4 linked regions of the Arabidopsis thaliana genome follow. The protein of the gene in region 1 interacts with the protein of each later gene in a pairwise test. Each region holds a gene or a part of one and is shown in the gene's direction. Other genes may lie near its edges. The genes, in order: CNGC10, IREG1, NHX3 and ACA2.

Evidence for each region.
Region 2: the proteins of CNGC10 (region 1) and IREG1 interact in a protein complementation assay, tested with the Arabidopsis thaliana proteins (one large-scale study listed by BioGRID).
Region 3: the proteins of CNGC10 (region 1) and NHX3 interact in a protein complementation assay, tested with the Arabidopsis thaliana proteins (one large-scale study listed by BioGRID).
Region 4: the proteins of CNGC10 (region 1) and ACA2 interact in a protein complementation assay, tested with the Arabidopsis thaliana proteins (one large-scale study listed by BioGRID).

What each region holds. Positions count from the first base shown.
Region 1 is NC_003070.9:130,854-138,045, reverse strand, and holds CNGC10 (cyclic nucleotide gated channel 10), read left to right. Parts: upstream 1-2,121; 5' UTR 2,122-2,338; intron 2,339-2,723; exon of another isoform or gene 2,724-2,776; 5' UTR 2,777-2,829; coding exon 2,830-2,858; exon of another isoform or gene 2,859-2,927; coding exon of another isoform or gene 2,928-2,941; coding exon 2,942-3,464; intron 3,465-3,544; coding exon 3,545-3,757; intron 3,758-3,839; coding exon 3,840-4,135; intron 4,136-4,293; coding exon 4,294-4,405; intron 4,406-4,506; coding exon 4,507-4,743; intron 4,744-4,827; coding exon 4,828-5,222; intron 5,223-5,301; coding exon 5,302-5,632; 3' UTR 5,633-5,776; downstream 5,777-7,192. Other genes in the region: AT1G01350 (Zinc finger (CCCH-type/C3HC4-type RING finger) family protein), read right to left, coding at 76-198, 288-1,111, 1,230-1,314; AT1G01335 (auxin-responsive endogenous peptide protein), read right to left, coding at 7,188-7,192. UniProt on the Arabidopsis thaliana protein: Probable cyclic nucleotide-gated ion channel.
Region 2 is NC_003071.7:16,101,037-16,107,743, forward strand, and holds IREG1 (iron regulated 1), read left to right. Parts: upstream 1-2,127; 5' UTR 2,128-2,326; exon of another isoform or gene 2,327-2,563; 5' UTR 2,564-2,566; coding exon 2,567-2,724; intron 2,725-2,875; coding exon 2,876-3,223; exon of another isoform or gene 3,224-3,255; coding exon of another isoform or gene 3,256-3,326; coding exon 3,327-3,809; intron 3,810-3,911; coding exon 3,912-4,083; intron 4,084-4,257; coding exon 4,258-4,395; intron 4,396-4,492; coding exon 4,493-4,603; intron 4,604-4,729; coding exon 4,730-4,894; 3' UTR 4,895-5,141; downstream 5,142-6,707. Other genes in the region: AT2G38450 (Sel1 repeat protein), read left to right, coding at 980-1,288, 1,447-1,516, 1,610-1,647; AT2G38465 (uncharacterized protein), read right to left, coding at 5,357-5,482, 5,646-5,774. UniProt on the Arabidopsis thaliana protein: May be involved in iron transport and iron homeostasis.
Region 3 is NC_003076.8:22,467,713-22,475,106, reverse strand, and holds NHX3 (Na+/H+ (sodium hydrogen) exchanger 3), read left to right. Parts: upstream 1-2,400; 5' UTR 2,401-2,521; coding exon 2,522-2,686; intron 2,687-2,796; coding exon 2,797-2,915; intron 2,916-3,012; coding exon 3,013-3,110; intron 3,111-3,218; coding exon 3,219-3,278; intron 3,279-3,376; coding exon 3,377-3,423; intron 3,424-3,504; coding exon 3,505-3,699; intron 3,700-3,779; coding exon 3,780-3,826; intron 3,827-3,931; coding exon 3,932-3,998; intron 3,999-4,094; coding exon 4,095-4,195; intron 4,196-4,279; coding exon 4,280-4,381; intron 4,382-4,643; coding exon 4,644-4,788; intron 4,789-4,903; coding exon 4,904-4,966; intron 4,967-5,077; coding exon 5,078-5,161; intron 5,162-5,257; coding exon 5,258-5,554; intron 5,555-5,712; 3' UTR 5,713-5,862; downstream 5,863-7,394. Other genes in the region: SVL1 (SHV3-like 1), read right to left, coding at 199-492, 692-830; AT5G55460 (Bifunctional inhibitor/lipid-transfer protein/seed storage 2S albumin superfamily protein), read right to left, coding at 5,974-5,987, 6,094-6,409; AT5G55450 (Bifunctional inhibitor/lipid-transfer protein/seed storage 2S albumin superfamily protein), read right to left, coding at 7,233-7,394. UniProt on the Arabidopsis thaliana protein: May act in low affinity electroneutral exchange of protons for cations such as Na(+) or K(+) across membranes. May also exchange Li(+) and Cs(+) with a lower affinity.
Region 4 is NC_003075.7:17,681,242-17,689,139, reverse strand, and holds ACA2 (calcium ATPase 2), read left to right. Parts: upstream 1-2,034; 5' UTR 2,035-2,331; coding exon 2,332-2,505; intron 2,506-2,625; coding exon 2,626-2,680; intron 2,681-2,771; coding exon 2,772-4,717; intron 4,718-4,798; coding exon 4,799-4,957; intron 4,958-5,036; coding exon 5,037-5,208; intron 5,209-5,295; coding exon 5,296-5,594; intron 5,595-5,675; coding exon 5,676-5,915; 3' UTR 5,916-6,281; downstream 6,282-7,898. UniProt on the Arabidopsis thaliana protein: This magnesium-dependent enzyme catalyzes the hydrolysis of ATP coupled with the translocation of calcium from the cytosol into the endoplasmic reticulum.

The sequences.
Region 1 (7,192 bases):
CAACAAAACAAAAAGCTTTCCTCAAGTAAATAACCAAATATAGTTTTTGCCTTTTTGTCCAGTGAAACAAGGACTTCACAATCCTTGTTCAGCTTTACTCCGTTCTTCAGCCATTCTCTTCTTGATCTCATGTGCTGCATTGAAAATCCCCATTGTTGGTTGGTTACACACAAAGCACTTCTTGTTCTTCGTGTGATGCTGCATCATTACATTAAACAAAACTCGCTAGTTTCACACATTTCTTCACAACTAAAAAAAAAACAGACTCGTAATTGTGATGATCATACCTTTAAAGCACAATGCTCACAGAAGTAATGCTTGCATTTGGTGACAACTGGATCAACAAAAGGCTCCCTGCAAATGAAGCAAGCAAAGGGCAATGCATTTTCGTCTTCGTCGCTATCCTTGTCAGCCTCATCATCTTCATCCTCAACTCCCATAGCTTTATTTCTCTTCCTAACTTTCTCTGCTTCTTCCCACTCTTTCTCTATCTGCCATCCTGGTTTGTAATCCCCACGGTCATGCAAGAACTTACACGAATCTCCATATCCACAGTATCCGGTTTCTTTGTAATCCTTGCAAATGTCTGGCTGGTAATCGAATCTAGCCGACACTCTTATGTGAGCAGAAGCTCTTAATGGCCCGTGTGAGCCTCCAGCTTTCTCGCTCGAGATTGTTTGTTCTCTTCTAAACCCAGCTTTGTGATCTGTATATCCATGAATTCCTTTGTACAGCTTCTCATCAGAAGCCTTTTTCTTATTCCCTTTCAATGCTTCGTCTGCTTTTTTAAGAACTCTCTCACGGATAGCTCGTGCGTCTTGATTGAAGTCGGTCTCAGTTTCAAGGGTTGCTGTTGCTCCACTGTCGTTCTGAACCTGGATTTCCTTGGATGAATCGTAGTGAAAGACGGACCTCTCAGGAGCTCCACTCGTTGTAGTAGAACTCTTAGATGGTCCAGAAGAAAAGTATAACTTGCTATCGGGTTTTGCAACTTTCTTTAGATTTTGTAGAATAGAGCTTTCGCTTTTCGAATCTCCGTCTTCTTCATCAGCGTCAATGGTTCTTTTTCTTATGTTTTTACTTTTCGTTGGCTTCTTGAAGAAAGTGCAAACTGAAACAGAAGAATGATTTGATTAGTGTAAATGAAAATTTCTAGCTAACAACGAAGAACAAGAAAAAATCTCAATGAGACGACAACTAGAATTGAGATAGAAGGAAGTATATGTAACCTTGTTGAGACTGAGTTTCTTGGGCAGCAGGTTGAGGTAGAGGTTCTTCTTGCTGAGAAGGTTTAGGCTCACCAGAATCTGACATAGTTAGATATAAGACTATGTAACAAACACAAATCACCCACTTGTAATTTGCTGCTTAGTGTTTCCCTGCAAAATTCAAGATTAGTATTAAGTCAATTTCCTGAAAACTTGTAAATTTGTTTGCACTGAGTCAAACAACAATTTTATCAAAATTTCTCCAGATTCAGTTACAATAATAGACAATGCAACATAAAAATGATCACCTGAATTCTTCCTAATTCATCTACGCGAGCTCACGAATAAACCCTAGCTAACTATCTATATCGGTGGCAATTTCATTCACAGTAGATAAGGAAGCAGAAATAGAAGCTCCAGACAGATCAATCCGAAACACAGTTCGACAACTCGATGTGTCAACGGAAGCTACAAAATTTGGAATCTAAAAACCCTTTGAATTGATTGAAATTGGAGACAAAAGCTCGAACAACACTAAAGACTAAACAAGAACGAAAAGTAGATCAAAAGTATGGAGATTAAACACAAGGAAGAATATGTTACCTTAAAAAAAAATCTAAAAATCGACGCCGGTGAGCTACACCGTCAAAAAGAACGACGACGCCGTCCGTATTTTCCGACAGAAAATAAATCAGTGTGAAGAGAAAAGAAATAAGGAACATATGGTGGGGCGGTTACTTCATTTTGGGTCATGAATCTAAATGGGCTCAATATTCATAATGGGCCCGGTACTTAAAATTTGGCAACTTGCTTATTCTCGCCGTCTGACTTTGACCAAGTCATTCATCTGAATGAAATTGTTTTATGAAATGATTTTCAATTGAACAGACTTTATAATATTTAATTGCATAATATTCCTCTTTCCCTCCCTTTTTGTCGTATAATAAAATTCTCATATACTACTTTTCCAGGAAACAATATACAGAGAGAGATACAAGTAACCGCCATATGAGTCTCTCTCTCTTTCCAGCGACGACGGGACCAGTTGCTTGAATTGAAGAAAACGCCGTTCACCGACTTCCGTTTATTAGCCGAATCTTACTATCTCGCCGTTACCTACTTCGTTTCAGGTTAGTTTGATGATAGAATTTTGATTCCGATTTCCGTTTTTGTTCTTTTTCGTCTGAATTTATTTTGCTGTTTCTCAGAACCGAAACGCTTAGATATATGTCTTTCGTTTATGGTCAATGGTTTTTTGAAATTTGGATTTCTTATCTTTGATGAACAGTGTTTTTAAGTTGTTCGTGTGGTTTCCATTTATTGAGCAGGAATGGGTAGGAATTACAGGATTTGGTATAATCTAATGTTAGGTGGAAATTGACTGATTCTAGGTTCTCTAATTAACCTTTTCAAGAAAGAAATATTTAAAAACACATACACACAACACAATTGTATTTGTAGTTAGGTGTCTACTTGCTTATTTTTAATTGGTATTGGGGATTATCATTGTACGTAATCATGTAGAAGAATTCGTATGTCTTAAGTTTTGGTTCTTATTATAATGTTAGGACTCGTCACCCTGTAAGCGAAAGATCAGTTGAAATATACAAGGGTTTGGCTGATGGCATTTAGCCATGATAATCGTGTAAGGTTGGTAGTTACAGAAAATCTTGAAAACAGTTCATAGTTGAATGATTTTTTCTACTATCTCATTTTCTTATGATTTTGTTTAGGTTCAAAGATGAAGGCAAACCATTATCCTCTGAATATGGTTATGGAAGAAAAGCTAGACCTTCTTTAGATAGAGTTTTCAAGAATGTAAAATGGGGATTCAAGAAGCCATTGAGTTTCCCTTCACATAAGGATCCTGACCACAAGGAAACATCTAGTGTTACTCGGAAGAACATCATAAACCCGCAGGATTCGTTTCTCCAGAACTGGAACAAAATATTTTTATTTGCTTGTGTGGTTGCTTTGGCGATTGATCCATTGTTTTTCTACATTCCCATTGTCGATAGCGCAAGGCACTGTCTTACTTTGGACTCAAAGTTGGAGATAGCTGCGAGTTTGCTTCGTACGCTCATCGATGCCTTTTACATTATTCACATTGTGTTTCAGTTCAGGACAGCTTACATCGCTCCTTCTTCGCGGGTTTTTGGAAGAGGTGAACTGGTAGATGATGCTAAGGCAATAGCCTTAAAGTATCTCTCTTCTTACTTCATCATTGATCTACTCTCTATCCTTCCTCTCCCACAGGTAAATGACTAGTTTGATTACTTGTTCAAAATGTCAATGATCATTTCTTTTTGAATCCTCTGGCTTCTTAACTTTTGCAGATAGTAGTTTTAGCCGTTATTCCAAGCGTCAACCAGCCAGTCTCTTTGCTAACAAAAGACTACCTTAAATTTTCCATAATTGCTCAATATGTTCCTCGGATTCTCCGTATGTATCCGCTTTACACTGAAGTGACAAGAACATCTGGCATTGTTACTGAAACAGCATGGGCTGGAGCTGCTTGGAACCTCTCTCTCTATATGTTAGCCAGTCATGTGAGTTTCGGATCTTTTGATGACTGAATCTTTATACATGTAAATGCATATTAAAGGTTATATGTTAAACTTACTTATTCAGGTGTTTGGAGCTTTATGGTACTTAATCTCAGTAGAACGAGAAGACAGATGCTGGCAAGAGGCATGCGAGAAGACAAAAGGTTGTAATATGAAATTCCTCTACTGTGAAAACGATCGTAACGTTAGCAACAATTTCCTGACCACTTCTTGCCCATTTCTCGACCCTGGTGATATAACAAACTCAACCATCTTCAACTTTGGCATCTTCACTGATGCTCTTAAGAGTGGCGTTGTTGAATCACATGATTTCTGGAAGAAATTCTTCTACTGCTTCTGGTGGGGTCTTCGAAATCTGAGGTTTGTAAGACACACATAAAACTGTTGACAATAACTAACTAGCTATATTTGGAGATTTTAAGCCGTGAAATGACCTGTTTATATTTGCATCTTAAGCATATATATCTGTCACAATTTAAACAAGTCATCATTCTCACAAGTTGCTTTTGTTGTTGCAGTGCATTGGGACAGAATCTCCAAACTAGCAAATTCGTTGGTGAAATCATATTTGCTATATCAATCTGCATATCTGGACTAGTCTTATTTGCTCTACTTATCGGCAATATGCAGGTATTAGCCTCAAATAATCGCTTCTCATTTTCTGGACTTGTTCCATAATGCTACATATAAGTTACTCAGGACACGCATGTAATTTTTGTTTGCTGTTGCAGAAATATTTGGAGTCAACAACAGTTCGAGAAGAGGAAATGAGGGTGAGAAAGAGAGATGCAGAGCAGTGGATGTCTCATAGAATGTTACCTGAAGACCTGAGGAAACGTATCAGAAGATATGAACAATATAGATGGCAAGAGACAAGAGGAGTTGAAGAAGAAACCCTTCTTCGTAACCTCCCTAAAGACCTCAGAAGAGATATTAAACGCCATCTTTGCCTCGATCTCCTCAAGAAAGTGAGTAACAAGCTTTCTCTCTTTTTCTTCCATAAACTGAACTAAAGAACCCTCAGAATCCAAATTATATGATGTTTATGGTAGGTACCTTTGTTTGAGATAATGGATGAGCAGTTACTTGACGCGGTTTGCGATAGGCTAAGACCTGTGCTCTACACCGAGAACAGTTACGTGATCCGTGAAGGAGATCCTGTTGGGGAAATGTTGTTTGTTATGAGAGGAAGACTGGTAAGTGCCACCACTAATGGAGGAAGAAGTGGGTTCTTCAATGCCGTGAACCTAAAGGCAAGTGATTTCTGCGGAGAAGATCTTCTCCCGTGGGCATTAGATCCTCAATCTTCTTCTCACTTTCCCATCTCGACAAGAACAGTTCAAGCTCTCACTGAAGTCGAAGCCTTTGCTCTCACAGCTGAGGATCTCAAGTCTGTCGCTTCACAATTCAGACGCCTCCATAGCAAGCAACTCCAACATACTTTTCGGTTCGGTCACTCCCATCAGCTTCTTTGGCTCTGTTTTCGGTTTTGGATCTTCTTAACCGGATCTTGATTATATATACAGGTTTTACTCAGTGCAATGGAGAACATGGAGCGTGTCTTTTATACAAGCAGCGTGGAGGAGATACTGTCGGAGGAAGTTAGCCAAGTCACTACGCGATGAAGAAGATCGTCTCCGAGAAGCGCTCGCTAGTCAAGATAAAGAACACAATGCTGCAACCGTGTCGTCGTCCTTGAGCCTTGGAGGCGCTCTTTACGCGTCGCGTTTCGCATCAAACGCGCTTCACAATCTGAGGCACAATATCTCCAACCTTCCTCCTCGCTACACTCTTCCTTTGCTACCTCAAAAACCCACCGAGCCTGACTTCACCGCCAATCATACAACTGACCCTTAGATCTCTCTTGCATGTGTATAGTGTGTGGAATAAAGTGTAAAAACAATGGTTTGAACTTTGAACCAATAAAATGTAAAAAATTGTTTATCAACTAACAGAAATTGAAATAATGGCTGGCTCTTATGCGCCGCTTAACTTTGGCTACTTCAGTTCAGCATCACACATGGAGGTATAGTTAGAGACTCGATCTGATGATCAATGCATTGAGGAAAGTGGGAAAAGCATATTTAGCTTTCAAGCTAATGCATAGCAAAACTGGGGTTGGTTATGAGAGAATGGCTAGTGTTAGAAGGTCTGTCAGGTTTAGGACTTTACTTAAACTTGTTTTGACTCCCGAGTTTAAAGAAACTTTTTTGCGTTTATGTCTTTTCTTGAAGAAGGAAACAATCGAAAGTTTCCTTTTTATTTTGGAAGAACCTAATAATGAAAACCTGAGGGAGAATGCTAATCTCCAACAACATCTCACTCATTCTCTCTTCTTCCTTGAGAAATCAAAGCAAACCAACCAATGTTTCCTTTTGGTTTTGTTCGGTATAATATCAACGTCTCTTTCGTATGTCGGTTTTCAGTGTTTCCTTTTTTTAAGTCCCGCTCCTGTATAAAGCAGACCAACATATTGAGCTTGCGTTTATATATACTACAAGTAACCCTAGAGTACTTTCATCTCTTTTTTATCAACAACCACCTGAGAGAATGCTAATCCCCAAATTCATCTCTTCTTCCGTAAGATTGATCGGAGTGGAAGATAATGTTAAACCTTATCACTCTTCATGATCGTAAGATTAACCTGTTTTCGGAAAAATCTATTAATCCATTTCATTGTTCATTTTTATGGTCAACCAAATTATAATCTAGTTTCATGCTAAAATTTCGTATAGAGATTATCATTTCTAAAGAATGAAAGTTACATAATATTCAACATATGAATAATATATTTACAAAAATTTACGAGTGAAACGATAAATACATTACTTCGGAAAGGAAAAAAGAATTACAGAATGTATGGACAAATTGGCCATTTCGTTTGGTTACTTGTGGAATAGGATAACGGGAGGAGGCAGCTTTACGTGGTCCATCTAGCACCGTCTGATTGCAGTCAGGTTAAGAAAGTGTGCGGCTCCGATTCGTTGGAATACCCATTTTACGTGGGACCCATTTAAGACAAATGGTCCCGCATCTTTGTTTCTTCTTTCCACTTGTGACCCCTGCCATTGCCAACATTACTGGACGACAAAATCGCCTGCTCTCATTTTCTTCATACATAAAAAAAACCTTTATTTATTTTATTATGATAAAATTTGATTTTGCTTACAAAAACGTGTATGTTAAGAGTCCTTAATGTTCATTGTGATTAAAAAAAATTAATGATCAAAGAACGTGTGATTGTTTGAACTAATTATAGCTTGCTTTTATATGGAAACATACAAAAATATCTGGACCAACAAGCTCGTGCTTCAAACAAAATACACATTTTTGAGCCATATAATACCTAATAACGTGATTTCTTAGACTCTTTTAACTGGGCAGTTAAGTTACCATTTCTGCATTTACTTTTTTAAA
Region 2 (6,707 bases), on another chromosome or scaffold:
TAATGTAAGTAGATTCCGAAATTTGCAGTAGTTTTACGGAAATTTGTGTGTAGGAATGTTTCGTTCTTTTTTTTAGCTCATAGAACATTCTTTTAGTAGGCTATGTATGTGTATTTGAATACATACATAGATATGTATTGTGTGTTCTCAATCATTTGCAGTGTCCTTTGACTGTATATTTGGTCATTTGGATAACGAATATCTATGAGAATCAGCTAGTTAGTGCACTGCACACACTTCAAAGGTAATATTTGGTTTCTAGAGGACTGAAATGATATGATGGTTTGCTTGCTTAGTACCAATAGGATGATCTTCACAAAAATCATTTGCAGGCATAACTGAGTTTCAATTTGAACCCAAATAGAGTAGTTGGATCGAGAAGGAGGATTGGAAGTATGGCAATCCTCAATCCTCATATGTAAATCAGTTGGAAGCCTACTTAATACTTGATCTCTATTCTCGGCTGGCACCACCTGTATCCTGTCTGAATACTTGATTATCGGGATCAGACCACATCGTCCGCGCAAAATACCACCCGGAACAGCACCACCATAAGCAACAGCCTCGACCGGGTTCACACCTGAGACGTTAGGGCTAAAAGAAACTATATGAGAGTGAAAAATCCTGAGATATCATTCTTGATTACCGTTATAGTGTCTGAACTCAAAACCTTAGACGAACTCATGCTACTAAAAAAAACAAGGAGACGAGAGCGAAAGAATGCAATTGTGAAGAATTTATGATGGCCTTTATATAGACAGAGCTCTTTATTCAGTAACCGTTATGAAATAGCAAGGAGCTAGTCTTAATTTCTAGTGGGCTAGGGAAAAAAATAAAAAAATTCTAGTGGGCTTAAGAGCTAGGCCCATAAGATATTTTAATATTATTTTATACAATGAGACCAAACCAAAACCAAACAAGAGATTGAGAAGAAAACCGATTTTTTCCTTTTATTTATTTTTATGTTTATAAATTAAAAATGGGAAAATCGATTCCCGTCAAAACAGGGCTAAGAGGAGCTTCCGCAGCAGTAGCTGGATTCATCAAATCCTCAAAACCGATCCGACCCATTTCCTCCATGGACAGTTCCGACAAAGATTCATCATCCACCACCACCACCAGCGAAACTACACGACGTTTCGTTCCGCTTTCATCGGTGGTTTCTGATTGTGCGAAGCGGTGGTTTAAAGACACTCTTGAGGAAGCTAAAGCTGGGAACATCACTATGCAGGTTTTGTTAGGTCAGATGTATTACTCTGGGTATGGAGTCCCTAAGGATGCTAGAAAGGTTTCGTCTTTATTCCCTCCCTTTCAATCTCTTCTTTTCCAAGTTTTAGGTTTTTTTAGTTTGGTTGATTTGAAAATTCTCTAATTTGATTAGATTGATTTGCAAGTTTCTTCTTTTTTAGGTTTTTGAATTTGATTCTGTGTTTTATTAATGATTAGGGGAGACTTTGGATTACGAAAGCATCAAGAGTTCGTTCTTCAGTGTGGAAAGTGATAGATAAACGACCAGGTCTTTGTTTTATTACATGTCAAAATTGGTTTATCAACAAATTGGTTCTTTTTTGCTTTTGGATATGAATTTGTTTTTTTTGTGATTTCTCAGGTTACAACGCAAGTGATTCAGATTCAGAGTCTGATTAGCATGTCCTGATCGAGAGAGCTTGTGTTTGTTCTGTTTTGTTTCAATCTTGGATGATCCAAGTTCCAACAATGAACAATATCTTCTCTCTGCGCATATCTTTTGATGCTTGCTAATCATTTTGTAGCTCTATTACTCAAATATGTCTTCTTTTTTTATTTTGTTTAAATTTTGGTGAATGCCTTTGCTCACAGTGTATGATTATTCTAGCAATGAAAAGGAGTTAAAAAAGGTACTCGTATTGTTTTGTTACTTTTTCTATGTTCCAAACTCCAAAGTAAACAATATCAGCGGGGTAAAAAAAAGTTCAGAAGAAGAACATCCATTTATACTACTTAGATCCATTTCGTTCGATAAGTGATTTGTATAACAACGAACTTATAATTTCTCCGATGACTTAGAATAGGCATTGGAAAGACTGGCTTGTTTTCTTAAACCAATCTTAAAATCTAAAAACCATAAAATAATGTAATTGTATCATAGTCATTTTGCACACAAAACCATAAATATTCCCAGTGCCTAGTGGGAATCTGTTTTTTGCTCCACTAACAAATTTTCATCCCTTTGGAAATAGAATCACCAATATTAATAGGACCACTCTAGAACAAAGTAATACTGAGTTTCGTCGATTCTTTTTCCATCATTCGATCAACAAAGCTATTTCTGCGGCGCTAAAATAAGGTTTTTGTTTCTCATTTATTCCTAGAATCATCGTTTTTTGTTTTCAGGATAAACTATTGTTAATATGGCAGTTCATATTTATCGCAATTCTCGAGGACGGCTTTGTTGTCACACACTAAAACGCTCATGCAAATGATGACTGTAGAAATATCTACAGATGTCATGTTTCATTTGGAATTCAATACGTAATCAACACCTAATCGCTTGATCGATGTTAAATTCGAGACTTTCCAGCAGAAAATGGAGAATGAGACAGAATTGAGGGTTGTTCATCAGGAAGAACAACAACGCGAAGAAGGAGAAGATGAATCACAGCCACAAAACCCACCACCAGCCTTACGACGTCGTTTCGTGATATATCTTTACGTTGGATATTTTCTTGCAAGATGGAGTGCCAGGTAGGTTTCCATCAATCCTTTATCTCCAATTATTTTGAAACTCTTTTTTTTTTTTTTATTGTATGAAGATATAAAACTTTATTCATAGTGTATTAGTGTTAGACGTTTTGAAGATGATGGACTACTTTCTTTTCTTGGTTTTGTGATGCAGAACATGGGAATTCTCTGTTGCATTGTATATGATCCACTTGTGGCCAAACTCTCTGCTTCTCGCTGCCATTTATGGTGCTATAGAATCTGGTTCTACTGCAATCTTTGGTCCCATTGTGGGGCAATGGGTCGAGGGAATGGACTACGTTAAAGTTCTTAGACTCTGGCTCCTGTTCCAGAACCTCTCCTACACTATTGCTGGTGGTGCAGTCATCAAGTTGTTGCTAGTTTCTGATCTTAAGTCCCGGAATCTCCCGGTGTTTGCAATCTTGATTGTGTTAACGAATCTTGCTGGCGCCATTGGAGTTCTTTCGACTCTTGCTGGCACCATTCTGATCGAACGAGACTGGTAAATGTCTAGACTGTATATATTTGCAACACATGAATGCAATCTTATGTATAGTGTCATATTTGCAACATGTATTTCTTTTGGCTCTTTTGGCAACCAACAGGGCTGTGGTTATGTCTGAAGGTCATCCACCAGCAGTATTGACAAAAATGAATTCTGTCATTAGAGGCATTGATTTGAGCTCCAAGCTACTGTCTCCAGTCATTACTGGTCTGATCATCAGTTTTGTCTCACTTAAGGCTTCAGCGATCACTTTTGCAGCTTGGGCTACTATAACAGCTTGGGTTGAATATTGGCTCTTCATTTCTGTGTATAGCGGTGTTCCTGCAATAACACGAAGCAATGAGAGACGGATCTTGCGTTCCCGGACAAAGCAAGTAGAAGGAAGAGATGCACCTGTTTCTGTTTCTATTGTTCCGGGAACAGAGGAGGGTTATACTGGAAACCCTCCGTCTAGAACCGGAATCTTGGTGATACTGGATAGAATGTCCAAGTCCTCTTTTGTTGGCGCATGGAGAATTTATTTCAATCAAGAAGTTGTCCTCCCCGGGGTTTCTCTAGCTCTCTTGTTCTTCACCGTCCTCAGGTTCCTTTTCTCTTTATCTATATGTTTAAGAGTCCTCAGATGAACATGCATATCCTACCGATTATGTGGATCATTGTTGTTTTATTTACCACCTTGACACAGCTTTGGAACATTGATGACGGCTACATTGCAGTGGGAAGGTATACCTACATATATCATCGGTATAGGCAGGGGAATAAGTGCAACGGTTGGACTAGCGGCTACATTAGTGTATCCGCTAATGCAATCGCGTCTCTCAACTCTGAGAACCGGCCTCTGGTCCTTCTGGTCTCAGGTATATCAACTTGAAAACACACCTATGGTTTGATTCATCTGATTGGTTACAGGTTATAACAAGTCTTTTTCTCATTCTTCACTAGATATTAAGTGTATCATATATGTACTTGACCATGTTATGGAACTCGAGTAAAACAAAAGAGTCATAAAAGTAGGGTTGTTGTTCATACAGTGGAGCTGCCTTTTGGTCTGCGTTGGATCGATTTGGGTTAAAAAGGATAAAATAGCATCTTACATGCTAATGGCTGGAGTTGCTGCTTCAAGGCTTGGCTTGTGGATGTTTGATCTTGCCGTCATCCAACAAATGCAGGTATGTTTACATTTCTTTAGCTTATATAGTTACAGCACACGTATTCTTTAAAGACTTATAATAAGAACGTTTCGTAATGTTTTTGGTCATGTGTTAGGATCTTGTTTCAGAATCCGACCGTTGTGTGGTTGGAGGTGTTCAGAACTCACTGCAATCGGCTCTTGACTTGATGGCATATCTTTTAGGTATCATTGTCTCCAATCCAAAGGTAAATAAATTCCAGTTTATATTCTAAGGATCCATATATAGATAATGACTCTTTTTATCCATCAAATGCAAAATTTACGTTTTCATACAATCAAGGTCATAATATTTATGGACTTTTTTATTTCAGGATTTTTGGATATTGACGTTGATCTCATTCTCCACAGTATCGTTGGCAGGAATGCTCTATACAATTCACCTCTACCGCATAAGAAACCATATTTTTCATCTTGAGAAGATTCCTTTGTTGAACAAATGTATATTCAAGTTGCTCCCTTCTCGTGGAAACGTGTAATTCATAATGTTGTGGAATGTGCCACGATTTCTCCGACATGGATAACTAGAAATGGGGTGGTTTTATGACATGACCATAAAGCAGCCAAAAATGAATCAAATGGCTTAAATGATTGGTTAAATAGGTCAAAGATATAGTCAAAAGAAAACACCCACAAAATAGGTCAGTGACAATTTTGTGATGTGTTAAAGACAACTTTCAGTGACAATTTTGTGATGTGTTAAAGACAACTTTCCTCCGTTTTTTGTATGAATTCACTCTGTTTTGTATGAACTCACTTTTATGTAGTTCTATAATAACAATGAAAATTTTCCATTTTATCTTTTGGGAATAGAATTCTGTATTAAAAATCAATACTGAAATAACATTCATCATTAGTAGTAGAAACAGTTGAAAACTCCCAGATATTTGTGTTTGCTTAATAAAGTACACACTCCATTATTATATGTTAATAAAGAAACATTAAGAAGATTGATGAAGTCTCTTCTTGGCATTCTCTGCTTCATCGGTTGCGTCAACTTGCATTTTTGTCTCCGTTAGATGAGCCTCCGTAGCTTCCTTCTCGTTCTTTGCCGTCAATCTCTTTGTCTTCCAAACCAAAATAAAAATAAAAGATTATAACAAAATGAAACTAATCAATAAGGAAATTAACGAGACACCAAATACGTCAAGTGATCATTGATTCAAGAAGACCCATGAGTCTCTGATCCGCTTGTTTCAGTGGCTCGAAACAAGACTCTTGTATACGCACCTGGCCAACAAAAAAGGCTTTGACATAGCTAAACCCTTCCTGGCATGTTACTGCCATGGATAAACAGTTAGTCTTCACTCGATCGGACAAAGACTTCGCCGGCTGTCGTGATGTCTCGGCGTCTTGCATCGCTGCTTTTTCGAGATAGATAGATTGCTTGAAACTTGAAAGCAAGACTAGGAAATATCTCACTTTCTTGTGCCAATGATGATTTTTTTTAACTATTAATGATTCTGGAAGCAACTCTTGCCACGTCTGTTTTACGTGTTAGCTGTAGAGATACCGACGTGTATTAAAGCAAGAGGCTATTTTACTTTGGGCCTTTTGGGCTTTTGGGCTGAAGAAAGAAACTGTCATCGGATCAACAAACACTGCATAGTTTGCAACTTGCACGGTAAAGCGACACAAAATCCATGACGTTTAATTTAGGTTCCACGTGAAGAACCATACCACATATCGTGCAATAAGAAACTGATCACTTTTATATACCTAAACGATTTACAATTTACACTACTATGCTTGACACGATATGTAATTTTTTTTTTTTTGCCAAAGGGTGTTGTTATTGATATTAAACATTGTACAATACAACGTACATAGACTGTTTATATAAAACAAGGACGTCTAGATAAAAAAAGCAAATAACAAATATTACAAGACTAGTTAAGGAAACAACAAACTGAGTAAGGTTTTATGTACAAAACAGAGACGACTACCAAAGAAGAGGGCCAGACGTGGTAGCAGTGATGGAAGACAAACATCCTGACATCTCAATAAGAACATTTATGGCTACTTCAAATACATATATACACAATATGTAATTCTCTTATTACATTTATGGCTACTTCAAATACATATATACAAAAAAAAAAGGCCTACCTTCGACAGAAGTTATACCAATTTATTGATCGGAAGCTACAAAATGTTATCTAGGGTCAATTTGTAGCCTATCTCTATATCAAAACCGATACGGATACAAAATAGTTTGATAATCATAGAATTTAACATTCTAATAAATATTTGTTTCTAGTATTCTTTAAATGAATAATCTTGTGTTCAATT
Region 3 (7,394 bases), on another chromosome or scaffold:
TCAAGCAAGTTACACCTCAATGAACAGCAGCAATCAAATCTAACAATACTAAAATTTACTCAATTTGATCAAATGTCACAGACAAATTACCCCTAAAACATAGATAAACTAATTAACATAAGATCTTTCTACAACTAGTATCCACTAGTCCAATAAATTAGAATGTATACTAAAGCTCAAAAAGACGCGTGAACTTACAGATAACTTTTGTCAGATCCTTGAAGTTGAAATCAATGGTGAACCAATCCTGAGTAGGGACTCCATTAAGCAAGTAAGAAGTTTTCCGTTTAGGGTAAACATCTTGAATATTGGAAGCATTCATCATCTTCACATCAGGGAAGCAAAGTCCAATTGCATCTTTCGTTAGTTGCACATCACACCAAAGAACAGCACCAGGAACACTAGTCTGCGATACAAAACTGTAAGCATCGAGACTTGAATCTGGCAACAACCCAGAAAACCCACCACGAGCAATGACAAGGGGAGCATCTCCTACAAAAATGGAAACAAAATCCGATGAAACCTATAAGAAAGCTTCGATTTTTCTTTGGATGAAACTCAGAAAACCCCCAAATTTTTCTCTTTGATTTCTATGAAACGATTCAAAAGGAAGCAACTTTTCTACTGATTTATTGATTAACAGTGAAGGGTATTGAATAAATAGGAGAAGAAGGAGATAGAAGACACTAACCAGTGAGTGTTTGCCATGGACTTTTAGATCTTTGAGCAAAGAGTTGAGTAGACAGCAACTGGATCAAAATAAGAGCTAAAAATAGAAACTTTGAAGCTTGTAAGACATGCATTGTTGGATTATCTCGCATGTTTATCATCTGTAACAACCTGAGTTGTCCCGGCGGCGACTTCACCAACTTCGACCAAAAACTGAGATTTACTCAGAGAGAGAGAGAGAGAGAGAGAGAGAGAGAGCTTTTTGGTTTGTGGGATTCGAATTTATATGATCGTTGATTATTTTAAAAGGGAAAACAAAAGAACTTCGACTTTTTGTTTTTGACACATTTTTCCACTTTAAAAAGAAAACATCAACTAAAATTTTATTTTTTTGGTTTTTCATAAATAAACTAAAATGTTTTTCAATGTGTCTCCATATCTTTATTGCAGACAGAAAATATTGGGAGTGTAATTTTGACTCAATTTTTTTTTGAGAATACAAGAGTTTAATTTTCATGGGATAACTAAATAAGTTTTATTTTAAATTAGAATATAATTTTTTGATTGGTTGTCTCCAACCTAGAGAAACCAAACAATTGTTTTACATATATTTGTGTATTTATTTTTTATAGTTATGCGTTCTTCATTTATTACGACCTACTCTCTCTTTGTTTTTCTTTATTACTACCTACTTGTTTCCAAAACCAGCTAAACTATAAGCAAGCATAATAATAAACTATATAATGCATGCAATTGCAATATACATGTGTCAATCATTGGTCTTGTTATAATTAGGATTAGTGTAGAAACGGCTATTAGATATCAATTATATCCCTGCAATTTCTCCCTTAATCACTCCTATAGTAATTGGTGTATATCTGTTTTCCTCTACGGTACCAACAAATAAAAAGTCTACTGCGGGGAACGTATTTGTTTTTCTTGTTTCCTCTTCTCTTCTCTGTATATAAGAAAAATTGTATCATTCTAGTGATACTACCCATTACCCAATACGCATTCCAATAATGGCTACATTTACATATATGATATATGCATATACATATCACATATGAGCAGATTTATTATTTATCTAATATACACATTATATATCCGAATTCTATGTTTTCACGTTAATTATAATATTTACAAGTTTCTTAATTTATATTATAGCTATAATGATACTAGTATCTTAAAAAATGTTGAGAAGGCGGTGGTGGATGATCGATTAAAAGTCAGGTAGGTCCTAGAACATGGTCGTTAAAGATTACACGTGGTGAAATAGGTCGCTGAGTCACTTTTTACGTCATCAAAACACGACCAAACGAAACGATCACGTTCTAGCGTCTTGGCTGTTGCAACCGGGACCGTTACTCAGTAGAGTGTTTTATTTCGATTGGTTCGAGTCTTCACCAAATAATTCGTTGTAATAAATATTGAGTTTTCAAGTTTCATAATTTTATATAAACAGAATAAAGAACAAGAGGTAAAAATAAATTAAGGAAAAAGAACAACAATTTACGCGAGTTAGTTAGACCCAAAAAAGAAAAAAGAAAAAAATCCCCAAATCCGGTAAGAAAAAAATACATGATGAGTTAGTTTTGGGCCCTAAAAAGGCCCAAGATGCAGTACAATTCCAAAAAGCCTCACGTTTACTCAGTCTGATGACGTTGGAAACATGCCACGTGTCTTTCGTCTCCTCGCCACCTGTAACCACCGCCTTGTTCATCGCAGTTCAAATCTCTCCTCACTCTCTGACTCTTTCCTCGTCTCTCTCTCTATCGTTCTCTGTGTGCCTTCTTCGTTTGCGATTGGTGTTTTCAAAATCGACGAAATCGAAAACATTATCGAGTGAAAAATGAGTATCGGATTAACAGAGTTTGTGACGAATAAACTAGCAGCTGAGCATCCTCAGGTGATACCAATCTCAGTGTTCATCGCCATTCTCTGTCTATGTTTAGTTATCGGCCACTTGCTTGAAGAGAATCGATGGGTTAATGAATCTATTACCGCCATTTTAGTAGTAATTTTCTTCAAAATTTCTTCTTTTTTTTGTTTTAGCTAAAGTTTTGAGCTTTTCTGCTCTTAAAGAACAATTTTATCACTATTTTTGATTGGTTTTGTTGCAAGTAGGGAGCAGCATCAGGAACAGTGATCTTACTTATTAGTAAAGGAAAAAGTTCACATATTTTGGTGTTTGATGAAGAACTCTTCTTCATTTACCTTCTTCCTCCAATAATCTTCAATGCTGGGTAAGCTTACTATGGTTTTGGTTACTATGTTGTGGTTAATGGGTTAGATTACACTATGATGGTGATTGACTGAAGATTTTTTGGTTTGTTGTGGCAGGTTCCAAGTTAAGAAAAAGAAGTTTTTTCACAACTTTTTAACCATCATGTCCTTTGGTGTGATTGGAGTTTTCATCTCCACTGTCATTATCTCGTTTGGTAAAAAATATTTCATTAATCTTTGAATGACTTGACTATATGATTTAAAGTTGATTATCTCGGAGTTGTTACCATCTCTATTTTTGTTGTTTTTATAATGTGAACCAGGGACTTGGTGGCTGTTTCCCAAGTTGGGATTTAAGGGGTTGAGTGCTAGAGACTATCTTGGTAAGATTTTTCACTGATCTATGTTTCTTTTCATTTCTTGTTGAGATGGTTATTACTTATCAGTTTGCGAGAGTGAATGCTTTCTTGTTTTGATTCAGCCATAGGAACGATTTTCTCATCAACTGATACTGTTTGCACTCTACAGGTTCTTGATTTAGAAGATTCTTTGTCTTACTACTTCTTCTATTAAAAGTTTTTTCTTACATTGCATCTTAAACTTTTACAGATTCTCCATCAAGATGAAACACCATTGCTATACAGCTTAGTCTTTGGAGAAGGAGTGGTGAATGATGCAACCTCAGTTGTACTGTTCAACGCCGTGCAAAAGATTCAATTTGAAAGCCTAACCGGTTGGACGGCGCTGCAAGTATTTGGGAACTTTTTGTACCTCTTCTCAACAAGCACACTTCTCGGAATTGGTGTAAGCTATTGAGTTGGCATAGTTTTTTACTCTGTTTGAAGCATATCATGAGTAATCTTAGAACTGTGAATGTCTTGCAGGTGGGGCTAATAACATCTTTTGTTCTTAAAACCTTGTATTTTGGAAGGTAAAAGTACACCAAACTTGCAAATTTTTCATCTCAAGCTTAAGTTTTTTTTTTTTAGTGATAAGATGTGCCTTTATATTGATCTTGTTATATGGTTGCTGACAGACATTCTACTACACGCGAACTCGCCATCATGGTTCTAATGGCTTACCTTTCATATATGTTGGCTGAGGTAATACACTGGTCATGAACGCTACTTTTTAGTTTTCATTTGGAATTGAAGTGCTGCATTTCTCTGTTTTAACTCAATATAGTTGTTCTCTTGCAGCTCTTCTCATTAAGTGGAATTCTTACTGTTTTCTTCTGTGGTGTTTTAATGTCGCATTATGCATCATATAACGTGACAGAGAGCTCAAGAATCACTTCCAGGCAATGTATCAGACAATTGTTTATTCGCTGAAGTCTCAATTTGCAGGAATTGCTTTTGTCTGACTGTGCATCTATATTTTGCAGGCATGTATTTGCAATGTTGTCCTTTATTGCGGAGACATTCATATTTCTGTATGTTGGAACAGATGCTCTTGATTTTACAAAGTGGAAGACAAGCAGCTTAAGGTATAAAGTCGTATCCATTTATCAGCTGGTAGAGCGTTTAGAGTGTTTTGTCAAAACAATACACAGCATTTTGATATGAACCTCGTGTATTTCTTAAATGCATACCTAGAATCAAGATTATCCCAAAGACATCCTCTATGTCTTCTTCTCTCTTGACACGAAGTTAATCGCCAATTAACTGTTAGTTAAGCTGTGGTGGTGACTCGTTGTTTCTGAAATCTCTTCCCAATGAAGACTTGTAACATTAATCATCTTCTTGCAGCTTTGGGGGTACTCTGGGTGTCTCCGGTGTCATAACCGCATTAGTATTGCTTGGACGAGCAGCATTTGTCTTTCCACTCTCGGTCTTAACAAATTTCATGAACAGGCACACTGAAAGAAACGAGTCTATCACATTTAAGCATCAGGTTTAGCTCTTGTTTGTTACAGTTACATTATCAGAAGCACTAAAATAAAAAATTAATAATGGTCCGAGAATGGGAAAGTTTCTGTTATATAATTCTCTCTTTGTATACTTTATAGGTGATCATTTGGTGGGCAGGTCTAATGCGAGGTGCTGTCTCAATTGCTCTGGCTTTCAAGCAGGTTTTTCTCTTTGCACATTCATATTATCTCTAATCTCTATTGTATTACTTTTACATTGAATTAGTAACATTTCCATTATATCTCATTTTGGTATATCTTTCATGTGCCAAGTTCACATACTCCGGTGTTACATTGGATCCTGTGAATGCTGCCATGGTCACCAACACCACTATCGTTGTTCTCTTTACTACACTGGTAAAACAAATACTACCTTAGTATATGGCCCTACTGGTTCTGGTAGTTTTCTGTGTTAAGATCAAAAGAATGACTTCTTTGTCATGTAACAAACAGGTCTTTGGTTTCCTCACAAAACCACTTGTGAATTATCTCCTTCCTCAAGATGCAAGTCACAACACCGGAAATAGAGGTAAACGCACTGAGCCAGGTTCTCCGAAAGAAGATGCGACACTTCCTCTTCTTTCCTTTGACGAGTCTGCTTCCACCAACTTCAATAGAGCTAAAGATAGTATTTCCCTTCTGATGGAACAACCTGTGTACACCATCCACCGCTACTGGAGAAAGTTTGACGACACATACATGAGGCCTATCTTCGGTGGACCTCGTCGAGAAAACCAACCAGAATGCTAGGTATACCCTCCATTATTACCACACAAATTTATACATTTTGCAGCAAACGCACCTCACTTGATCAATAATGTGTAACCGGAATTAATAAGTACATCCGGGAAGAGGTGCCTACAATATTCATCATGATAAGCGAACAATTCTCTCTTTTTGTGTTGCAGAATTGATCCGGGTTCTCCGCGGGGAAATCATGATGAGTTAGTTTTTTTTATAGTCAAGAAAGTAGGATAGTTGGTTTAGCTAAAACAGTTTCTTAAAGTTTTTGTTAAATGTATACAACAAGGTTCTTCTATATACACAAGCTGCGATTATTACTGCGAGTTTGTAATTTATTTGGATCGGAACATAAGACATATTGTAAGACTTCAGATCAGTTGCAGGACAAGTTCGAGTGAAGTCTGCTAGAACGGTCTGTCTCCATCTCAGTTCCTCAAAGCTGCACTTACAGAACAGCAAAACGTAAGCCTTTTTTACTTCATACTTCATATTGGGATCCTACTAGTCTACCGGTTTTTAGTATCTTAATGGTATTTTGATTTTACCTTGGCAAGCAGGAGGGATTGTTGTCAGGCCACATTTGCTCAGAAGAGCCTGGACTTTAGATGGGTAAACCGCTAAAACGGGGAGAACAGACTTGAATCTGCAGATGCATTTCAGATTAGCGGCTTGGAGGAGTTCACAACACTCTTTGATTGGAGATGGCGGGTTGTCTCCAATTACGGCTGGACGACATTTTTCCAGATGGTTTGCGTTGATGTTACATGCGGTAATGCTCGTAGGTTCTTCCATCAACACCAAGGCGGCTAAAACTATTGCAAGAGCTGCAAATTTCACAGTTCTGGTATTGTTCGTATCCATTCTCTCTTGACTATTCCATATGATCCTTAAATCTAATGAGCTTATTATACAAGTTAGATTGAGCGTATGGTATGGGTTGCAGACTCATTAGTCTTCTACTAGTCTAGTCGTCTCTTTTTTTTTCTTGGTTCAACCATAAGTATGATATGGACCTTAAGTCAAGTCAAGTCGTCTTTTGAGTTGAAATATCTGCAAGTTGCAAAGAGACATGTGGGAGACTTATTGGCTTTTTTTTTGCTCTATCTCTCTCTTTTCATAAATGAAAATTTAATAAAAATGTGAGAAACAGAGTACATTTCGACATTACTAGTAATGGATTAAGACAACATTAGATCTAAAAAGTAATGTTAAGATGCTATCATATTGTGTAGTCACTTTCAAATATTGTCAACTACAAATGCCTAGTTATTTTGTTATTTGTCAAATGTATTTTACATCTCTTAATATTATGATTTGGGTTCTTTGCACGGAAGATACATAAGGAGTCAATTTTTAAATACTCAAGAAAGTAGTACACAATGGAGTTAGCAAAAAAACAAGTACTTTATTTCATTTCATTAATAGTAGAACATGGTTCATCTATATAATAGATAAGGTGACTGAAAAATCACTGCAAAGTTGATATTTATGCGAATCAGAACAGCAAAAGACATATTTATAGCTTAGAGACTTCAGGGCAAGACAAAGTCTGTGGGAGACTGGGCCTGACTTCAGCTCAGTTCTTCATGCTGCGTGTTACAGAAGGAACAACAAAACAAACGTAAGATTTTCTCTCTTTACATAAACAAGTGAGAAAATCCTGAGGTTACTTTGATTTTTTACCTTAGAAACAGGAAGGACTGTTTACACCACAATTGGCAAGAAGAGGCCTGACTCTAGATGGGTCTATCCCGACAGTGGGGAGATAAGGCTTGTACGGGCAGAGGCATTGTAGATTAGCAACTCTGGCCACTGCGCAGCAGTCCGGTCCCGGTGGTGGAGGGTT
Region 4 (7,898 bases), on another chromosome or scaffold:
TGTTTATGTATACAGTAGACCCTAATTTGTTTCTCGCATATAAACCCATATTCATTCGCTAATTTGGTTGTTATGCATGCCTGTATGCTAATTAAGATTTATATACTTGGAGAAAACATCTTCCCCATGGTTAGGATTGTTTAGCCCCAGAAATGAACCGTTAACTTATCTTTTTCGATTAGTAATGAAATGATCAAATATTTTTACAAAAATATTCTACTATCCTTCAATTAAGCCATAGACAAAAAAAACCTGTAGGTCTCCCATCAATCACACAAAGGTAAAAAAACAGACTTTTAGGTGACCAATTTCGTACCATTTTGTAAAATCTAAATCGGAACAATGTAGAGCAAATGATGTAGAAAATATCATACATTATTAGAACCAACTCAATCAAACCTAACTCAAAATAATAATTTTGACATGACTATTCCCACTAAAACTACATATAAGTGACACCGGCTAAAGTTTTTTAAAAATTGTACGGCATACCAAAATCATGGAGGTTGATATGATATGTGTAGAATCATCCGAAAAATATATATTTGTGAATTTACACAAATTTATGGGTCATCAACGTACGTCTAGACCTCTTTCAAACAACTTTTTATGATTGCAAAATGTTATTTGGTTAATGGATTTCGTAACACAACAAATATCTCATCAACGAACTTCGTCCACCACTTGAATATGAAACCAAGCTGGTTTTCTTAGTCCCATATATAACTGAATTTTTCCTTCCCTAGTCACACTTTTAGCGATAGCAGGAGCAGTGACATCAGTCCGAACCGCGACCAAGTGAAATTACAACCTTCAAAACCGTTGCTAAACTGTGATTTTTTTATTTTTTTGGTAATGGCTAAACTGTGAATTTTATCCAGCAGATCACAGAATCTTGGCAACTTATGGGGTAACGAACTAGCTTCCCATGGCAGAGTGACAATCGGAGACCACAACCACACGAGCAACTTCAACGTCATCCCACAGCTGTTCCAATGCCTGTCCAACACATAACTCAGCAGAATCGCTTAAAGAAAAAAAATGATTAACAGTTTTATTGTTTATTTTTCTTTCTCAAAAGCATCCCAAATATTTTAGAGAAGCAAACATATACCAGAGCCCAAAATTTGTTAGGCCCTAAAGGCCAATAAAGCAAACAAAGCCGTGTAAAGAAAGATCTTAATAGCTTTCAAGGCCTATAAAGGCCCATTCTAAGCCCAAATCTGCATGTCCAACTTTTTTGAAAGTGTCATTTTCCATGAAGTCAAGGTAAACGCATTATTCAATTGGAGAAGAATAAAAAACACTAGTTATTGAACTAGAATGATGAACAGAGACATAAGCAATTAGTACCAAACGAATAATAAAAAGACATAAAGCAATCAATGTTTTTGAGTCCAAATAGAACCAATGGGCTTGGTCCAACGTGGCGTCCCCGAAGTGTCGGGTTTTTTGCAATAGTCTCTGGGTCAACGGTCCTCCAATTTCTCTTTATTTATATAAACGACCCCATTTCTTATTATTGTCAAAAATCACCGCACTTTTGTCCCACAATTGTCATTCAATTTGGTCAAAGTGAAATCAACGTGAGCAGCCAAACAACAAAAAACCAAAGCTACGAAAGGTAAACTTCTTAGAAAAATCTTGCAAAATATGGTCCAATTAAAACTCTCTGTATATTATATTCCATTTTTTTCTATACAGTATATATTATATTGAGTAAATCTAAAAATTACGTCATTTACTCATCCATAGTATTTTACTAGTTTTTAAACCTTTTTTTTTCTGTAATCTTCTAATTTTTTTAATTATAAAATGTCCACATTCATTCACAAATTTGGGAATAAAAACCAATCATAAACTCAACAATAATAACATAAACGCGTAATGTACTCGTCATGGCCTGCATGAATGTTTCAAGAATGATTTAACGTTCGTTATAAATGGAAAGTAGTGCATGTCTTTATTTAATTATTCTCTTCAATAATAAGTCGAATGTTTTTATTAAAAATGTAAGAGAAACTTTGTTGGACACACGAATTTAAAACGAGTCAACTCAGCTTCTCATCACCAAATGTTAATAAACTCAACGACTCGGTCAAATGCTTAAGCAAAAAAAACTCAGATCTTTGAATAAAAAAAAACTTTACCTTTCTTCTCCATTAAAAGCTTCCGATTTCTCTTCTTCACCCACCAAAAAATAAAAAGGTTCCTTTTTTCTTCTCCACCAAATATACAGAAGAATTTGAAACAGAGAGCCAAACAAAAAAGCCATTGAAGCTGGAAGACAAAAAAAACAGAGGAGATTGAAGAAGAAGAGGGAGTAAGAAGATGGAGAGTTACCTAAACGAGAATTTCGATGTGAAAGCGAAGCATTCTTCAGAGGAAGTGCTTGAGAAATGGCGTAATCTCTGTGGCGTTGTTAAGAACCCTAAACGTCGGTTTCGTTTCACCGCTAATCTCTCTAAACGCTATGAAGCCGCCGCGATGCGTCGCACCAACCAGGTTTTGTCTCTTTTCTTTTTCTTCTATGTCATCGTTGTTAATGATTTTGTTGAAATCTTCGAACTTTTAGATGGATTTTGTGTATAGCGATGAAGGATCTTAAAAACTTTCTATATACAGGAGAAATTAAGGATCGCTGTTCTTGTTTCCAAAGCTGCTTTCCAATTTATCTCTGGTGAGTTTATATGTGATCAAAGTTGCTGATTTGTGTCAAAGTTTCGATTTTTGTTTGTTTGTTTGTTTGTTTATGTGAGTTTTTGTTGTAGGTGTTTCTCCAAGTGACTACACTGTCCCTGAAGATGTCAAAGCTGCTGGCTTTGAGATTTGTGCTGACGAATTAGGATCAATTGTTGAAAGTCATGATGTTAAGAAGCTCAAGTTCCATGGTGGAGTTGATGGGCTTGCAGGTAAGCTCAAGGCATCTCCCACAGATGGCCTTTCTACTGAGGCTGCTCAGTTATCCCAAAGGCAAGAGCTTTTCGGAATCAACAAGTTTGCAGAGAGCGAAATGAGGGGTTTCTGGGTGTTTGTATGGGAAGCTCTTCAGGATATGACTCTTATGATTCTTGGTGTTTGTGCTTTCGTGTCTTTGATTGTTGGGATAGCTACTGAAGGATGGCCTAAAGGATCACATGATGGTCTTGGCATTGCGGCTAGTATTCTCTTGGTTGTGTTTGTTACAGCTACTAGCGATTACCGCCAGTCTTTGCAGTTCCGTGATTTGGATAAAGAGAAGAAGAAGATCACTGTTCAGGTGACAAGGAACGGGTTTAGACAGAAACTGTCGATTTACGACTTGCTTCCTGGTGACATTGTTCATCTGGCGATTGGAGATCAGGTTCCTGCTGATGGTCTTTTCCTCTCGGGATTCTCTGTGGTGATAGATGAATCGAGTTTGACTGGTGAAAGTGAGCCTGTGATGGTGAATGCGCAGAATCCTTTCCTTATGTCTGGAACCAAAGTGCAAGATGGATCTTGTAAGATGATGATTACTACAGTTGGGATGAGGACTCAATGGGGAAAGCTAATGGCGACTTTGACCGAAGGAGGGGATGATGAAACTCCACTGCAGGTGAAACTCAATGGAGTTGCTACCATCATTGGCAAAATTGGTCTTTTCTTTGCGGTGGTTACTTTCGCGGTTCTGGTGCAAGGAATGTTTATGAGGAAGCTTTCAACGGGAACTCACTGGGTCTGGTCTGGTGATGAAGCATTGGAGCTCTTGGAATACTTTGCTATTGCTGTGACAATCGTTGTGGTTGCGGTTCCTGAAGGATTGCCTTTAGCTGTGACTCTAAGTCTTGCGTTTGCCATGAAGAAAATGATGAACGATAAAGCTCTTGTGAGGCATTTAGCAGCATGTGAGACTATGGGATCTGCAACGACGATTTGCAGTGACAAGACTGGTACACTCACAACCAATCACATGACCGTTGTGAAGTCTTGCATTTGCATGAATGTGCAAGATGTAGCAAATAAAGGTTCTAGCTTGCAATCAGAAATCCCGGAATCTGCGGTGAAGTTGTTGATTCAATCGATTTTCAATAACACAGGAGGCGAAGTTGTTGTCAACAAACATGGGAAAACCGAGCTTTTGGGGACGCCAACAGAGACTGCTATATTAGAGTTGGGGTTATCTCTTGGAGGTAAGTTCCAAGAAGAGAGGAAGTCTTACAAAGTGATCAAAGTTGAGCCTTTCAACTCCACAAAGAAGCGAATGGGAGTTGTAATCGAGCTTCCTGAGGGAGGACGTATGCGTGCTCACACGAAAGGAGCTTCCGAGATTGTTTTAGCTGCTTGTGACAAAGTTGTAAACTCGAGCGGTGAGGTTGTTCCACTTGATGAAGAATCAATCAAGTATCTGAATGTTACAATCAACGAGTTTGCTAATGAAGCTCTTCGAACTCTTTGCCTTGCTTATATGGATATTGAAGGCGGGTTTTCGCCGGATGATGCAATCCCGGCTTCTGGATTTACTTGCGTAGGGATTGTGGGAATCAAAGATCCCGTACGTCCTGGAGTTAAAGAATCTGTTGAGCTTTGTCGCCGTGCTGGAATCACTGTGAGGATGGTTACAGGAGATAACATTAACACCGCGAAAGCAATTGCTAGAGAATGTGGGATTTTAACTGATGACGGTATAGCCATCGAAGGTCCCGTATTCAGAGAGAAGAATCAAGAAGAGTTACTAGAACTGATTCCAAAGATTCAGGTGCTTTTTGTTTCATGAACTAAAGACTTAATTTTTTTTGTTTAGTTTTTGAAACATAACCTTTCCTATGTTCTTATACAGGTGATGGCTCGTTCTTCACCAATGGATAAGCATACACTTGTGAAACAGTTAAGGACAACGTTTGATGAAGTTGTTGCTGTCACTGGAGATGGAACAAATGATGCACCTGCACTTCATGAAGCTGATATTGGACTAGCAATGGGAATTGCTGGAACTGAAGTGAGTATATGATAAGATTTTGTTATGTCATTTGTGAGAGCTAAAGAATCTAAAAGTTTCTATCTGTATAACCTTTTAGGTGGCGAAAGAGAGCGCTGATGTCATCATTCTCGACGATAACTTCAGCACGATCGTCACAGTTGCTAAATGGGGACGTTCTGTTTACATAAACATCCAGAAATTCGTTCAGTTTCAGCTTACCGTTAATGTTGTTGCACTGGTTGTTAACTTCTCTTCAGCTTGTTTAACCGGTAGGTTTAGTAAGAATACCAATTCAATGTCTCGAAAAGAATCATTTTGGATTCCTTGTTTGACACAGCTCTTATGATAATCTTCAGGAAGTGCTCCTTTAACTGCTGTTCAATTGTTGTGGGTGAACATGATCATGGACACACTTGGAGCTCTTGCTTTAGCTACAGAGCCACCAAACGACGAGCTGATGAAGCGTTTACCTGTTGGAAGGAGAGGCAATTTCATCACTAATGCGATGTGGAGGAACATTTTAGGACAAGCTGTTTACCAATTCATCGTAATTTGGATTCTCCAAGCCAAAGGGAAGGCTATGTTTGGTCTCGACGGTCCTGACTCAACTCTCATGTTAAACACTCTTATCTTCAACTGCTTCGTCTTCTGTCAGGTAAAGAACAAAGATTACTGATAACAATACTCGAGCTATAAAGATAGATTCTTGACATGACTTTGGTTCTGAAAACTCCAGGTGTTTAACGAGATAAGCTCGCGAGAGATGGAAGAGATCGATGTTTTCAAAGGAATACTGGACAATTACGTCTTTGTGGTTGTGATCGGTGCAACGGTTTTCTTTCAGATCATAATCATCGAGTTCTTGGGCACATTTGCAAGCACAACACCACTCACAATAACACAATGGATCTTCAGTATCTTCATAGGTTTCTTGGGTATGCCAATCGCCGCTGGACTGAAGACGATTCCCGTTTGATCGTTCCATCAAAATTGGCTCGAAACCACTCTTTAAAGATCTCTATATTAGACCAGTTACTTCAAAGTTTAGAACGGACAAGTCTTCTAACAAAGTTTTTGCATTATGCAATGACTCTGTTTTTTATTCTTGACTTTTATTTTTCAGTTTGATTAGTGCTATTAAGGACAAATATCTGATTTCCTCCATTTTTGTAAAACTCTCTGTATCTTTGAAATGACACTTCTCTTTTCTTTCTTTTTCTCATTTTTGGAATCTAAATTTGGTCTCTATTGAATGACAAATGCAAAAATACAGAAAAAGGACATTGAAAAAACAGAGGAAGCAAAAGGTTAAAATAAGAAAAATGATTATTTGGGTACAAAATTGTTATCTAGCCAGACTGTAATTTGATATACTTAGAAAATCTCTCAATGAAGTCATGGCTTTTAGTGGGAGCCTCTTCTCCTGACATCATATCTCATCAGTCAAAACTGATTCCATATAACAATTCCAAAGCCTGTCAATCTCAAAACTGTAATAAATAAGAAAGACTCTTCTTTAAGAAAAGAAAAAAACATTTTTAAATGTTATCAATTTAGGATCTCTATGAAGTAAAACCATTTTTTAGATTGAAAAAATGAGTATACTATAGTCATTTGTCCCTTGTAGGCGTATAGGTAAATTATAATTTCTATGTGAACATTAGACCGGTAAAATATTCTATAACTAATTGTTTAAGTTTGTGATCGTGTGAATAAATGTTCATAAATAAAGGACTAATTAATATCTAGAATGAAAATAGAATTTACATAAAGATTAGTTATTTTTGTGATATTTCAATCTCACTAGTCATTAGTTTATCCATCTCCTAACCAAAGTGAGAGTTGTAACTAAATTGTGTTACCCGTGAATCTCACATATGTCTACACAAAACCCAACAGAAACAAAATGGTTTAACTCAATGATAATAAGCAAAAAAAAAAAATAACAATTGGGACATACTAATATTCATTGAAAGATAGGCAACAGAAAATTCAGAAGCATTAACTAGTTCTTGGTGAAGTAAAGCTTGACCCTTTATGCTTCTTGATTTGTTGAATAATCTCTTAGAGCAACAAAACATTGGCCTTAAACCACACACACATTATCTTTAATTATATTCTGTCAGTACTTTATGCTTCTTAATTTGTAAGAATGCATTTTGTTTGTAATAAGTCTTTTAATTCGTTGCTAATCATTTTGGAATTAAAGCTTTAATTAATGGAACCAAAACTTTGGATCCCAAGTTGTATTGTATGAGACAGTTGTTTCTCACTTAAACAAGTCGTTGGGTTGTTGTTTCTTCAGTCTATTACACATATGTTTTTTTTTTTTTTTCTCAACTGCATTTCATTGAAAATATTAACAATAATCCTATAAACACACACAAAAAAAACAATCTACCTCTATATGTACGAGTACGATGCACTTTTGACTTGCGCGTAGAATAGTACGTTAACTTAAAAACATCACATGCAAATTTCTGTATAAATTGGGGTTTCATCTTTAGATCCAATCATTGATCCAAAGTACTTCCACAGTTCCACTACAAGTTGTTGGTTTCTATAATGCTAAAGAAAACTTATTGGAGCAAAATATATATCCGTTTTAGTTTATCGTGATCGACTGATTGTCAATTCGTAAAAGTAGTTATCTATCAAAGATAAGTAACGATGATTTTTCCTAAACAAGAAAATTTTCTTTTTATTTGATTAATTTTTTTCCAAGATATTATATATTGAGATTTGAGAACATGAAAAGATCACGAAGGACTTTGTGGAATGGACATAACATGTTGAGTAGCATACAGATGGATTCACTTTGGAGATGACCAAAAGTGTCAATAAAGATAAGAAAATAAATATATTTATCAAATATAAAATAATTTTACCTTACCTTAAAAAGAGTTTTTTCATTTATTATTTGCTATGAATGAGCCCTTTTGAAAGTTAAAGAGGTTAA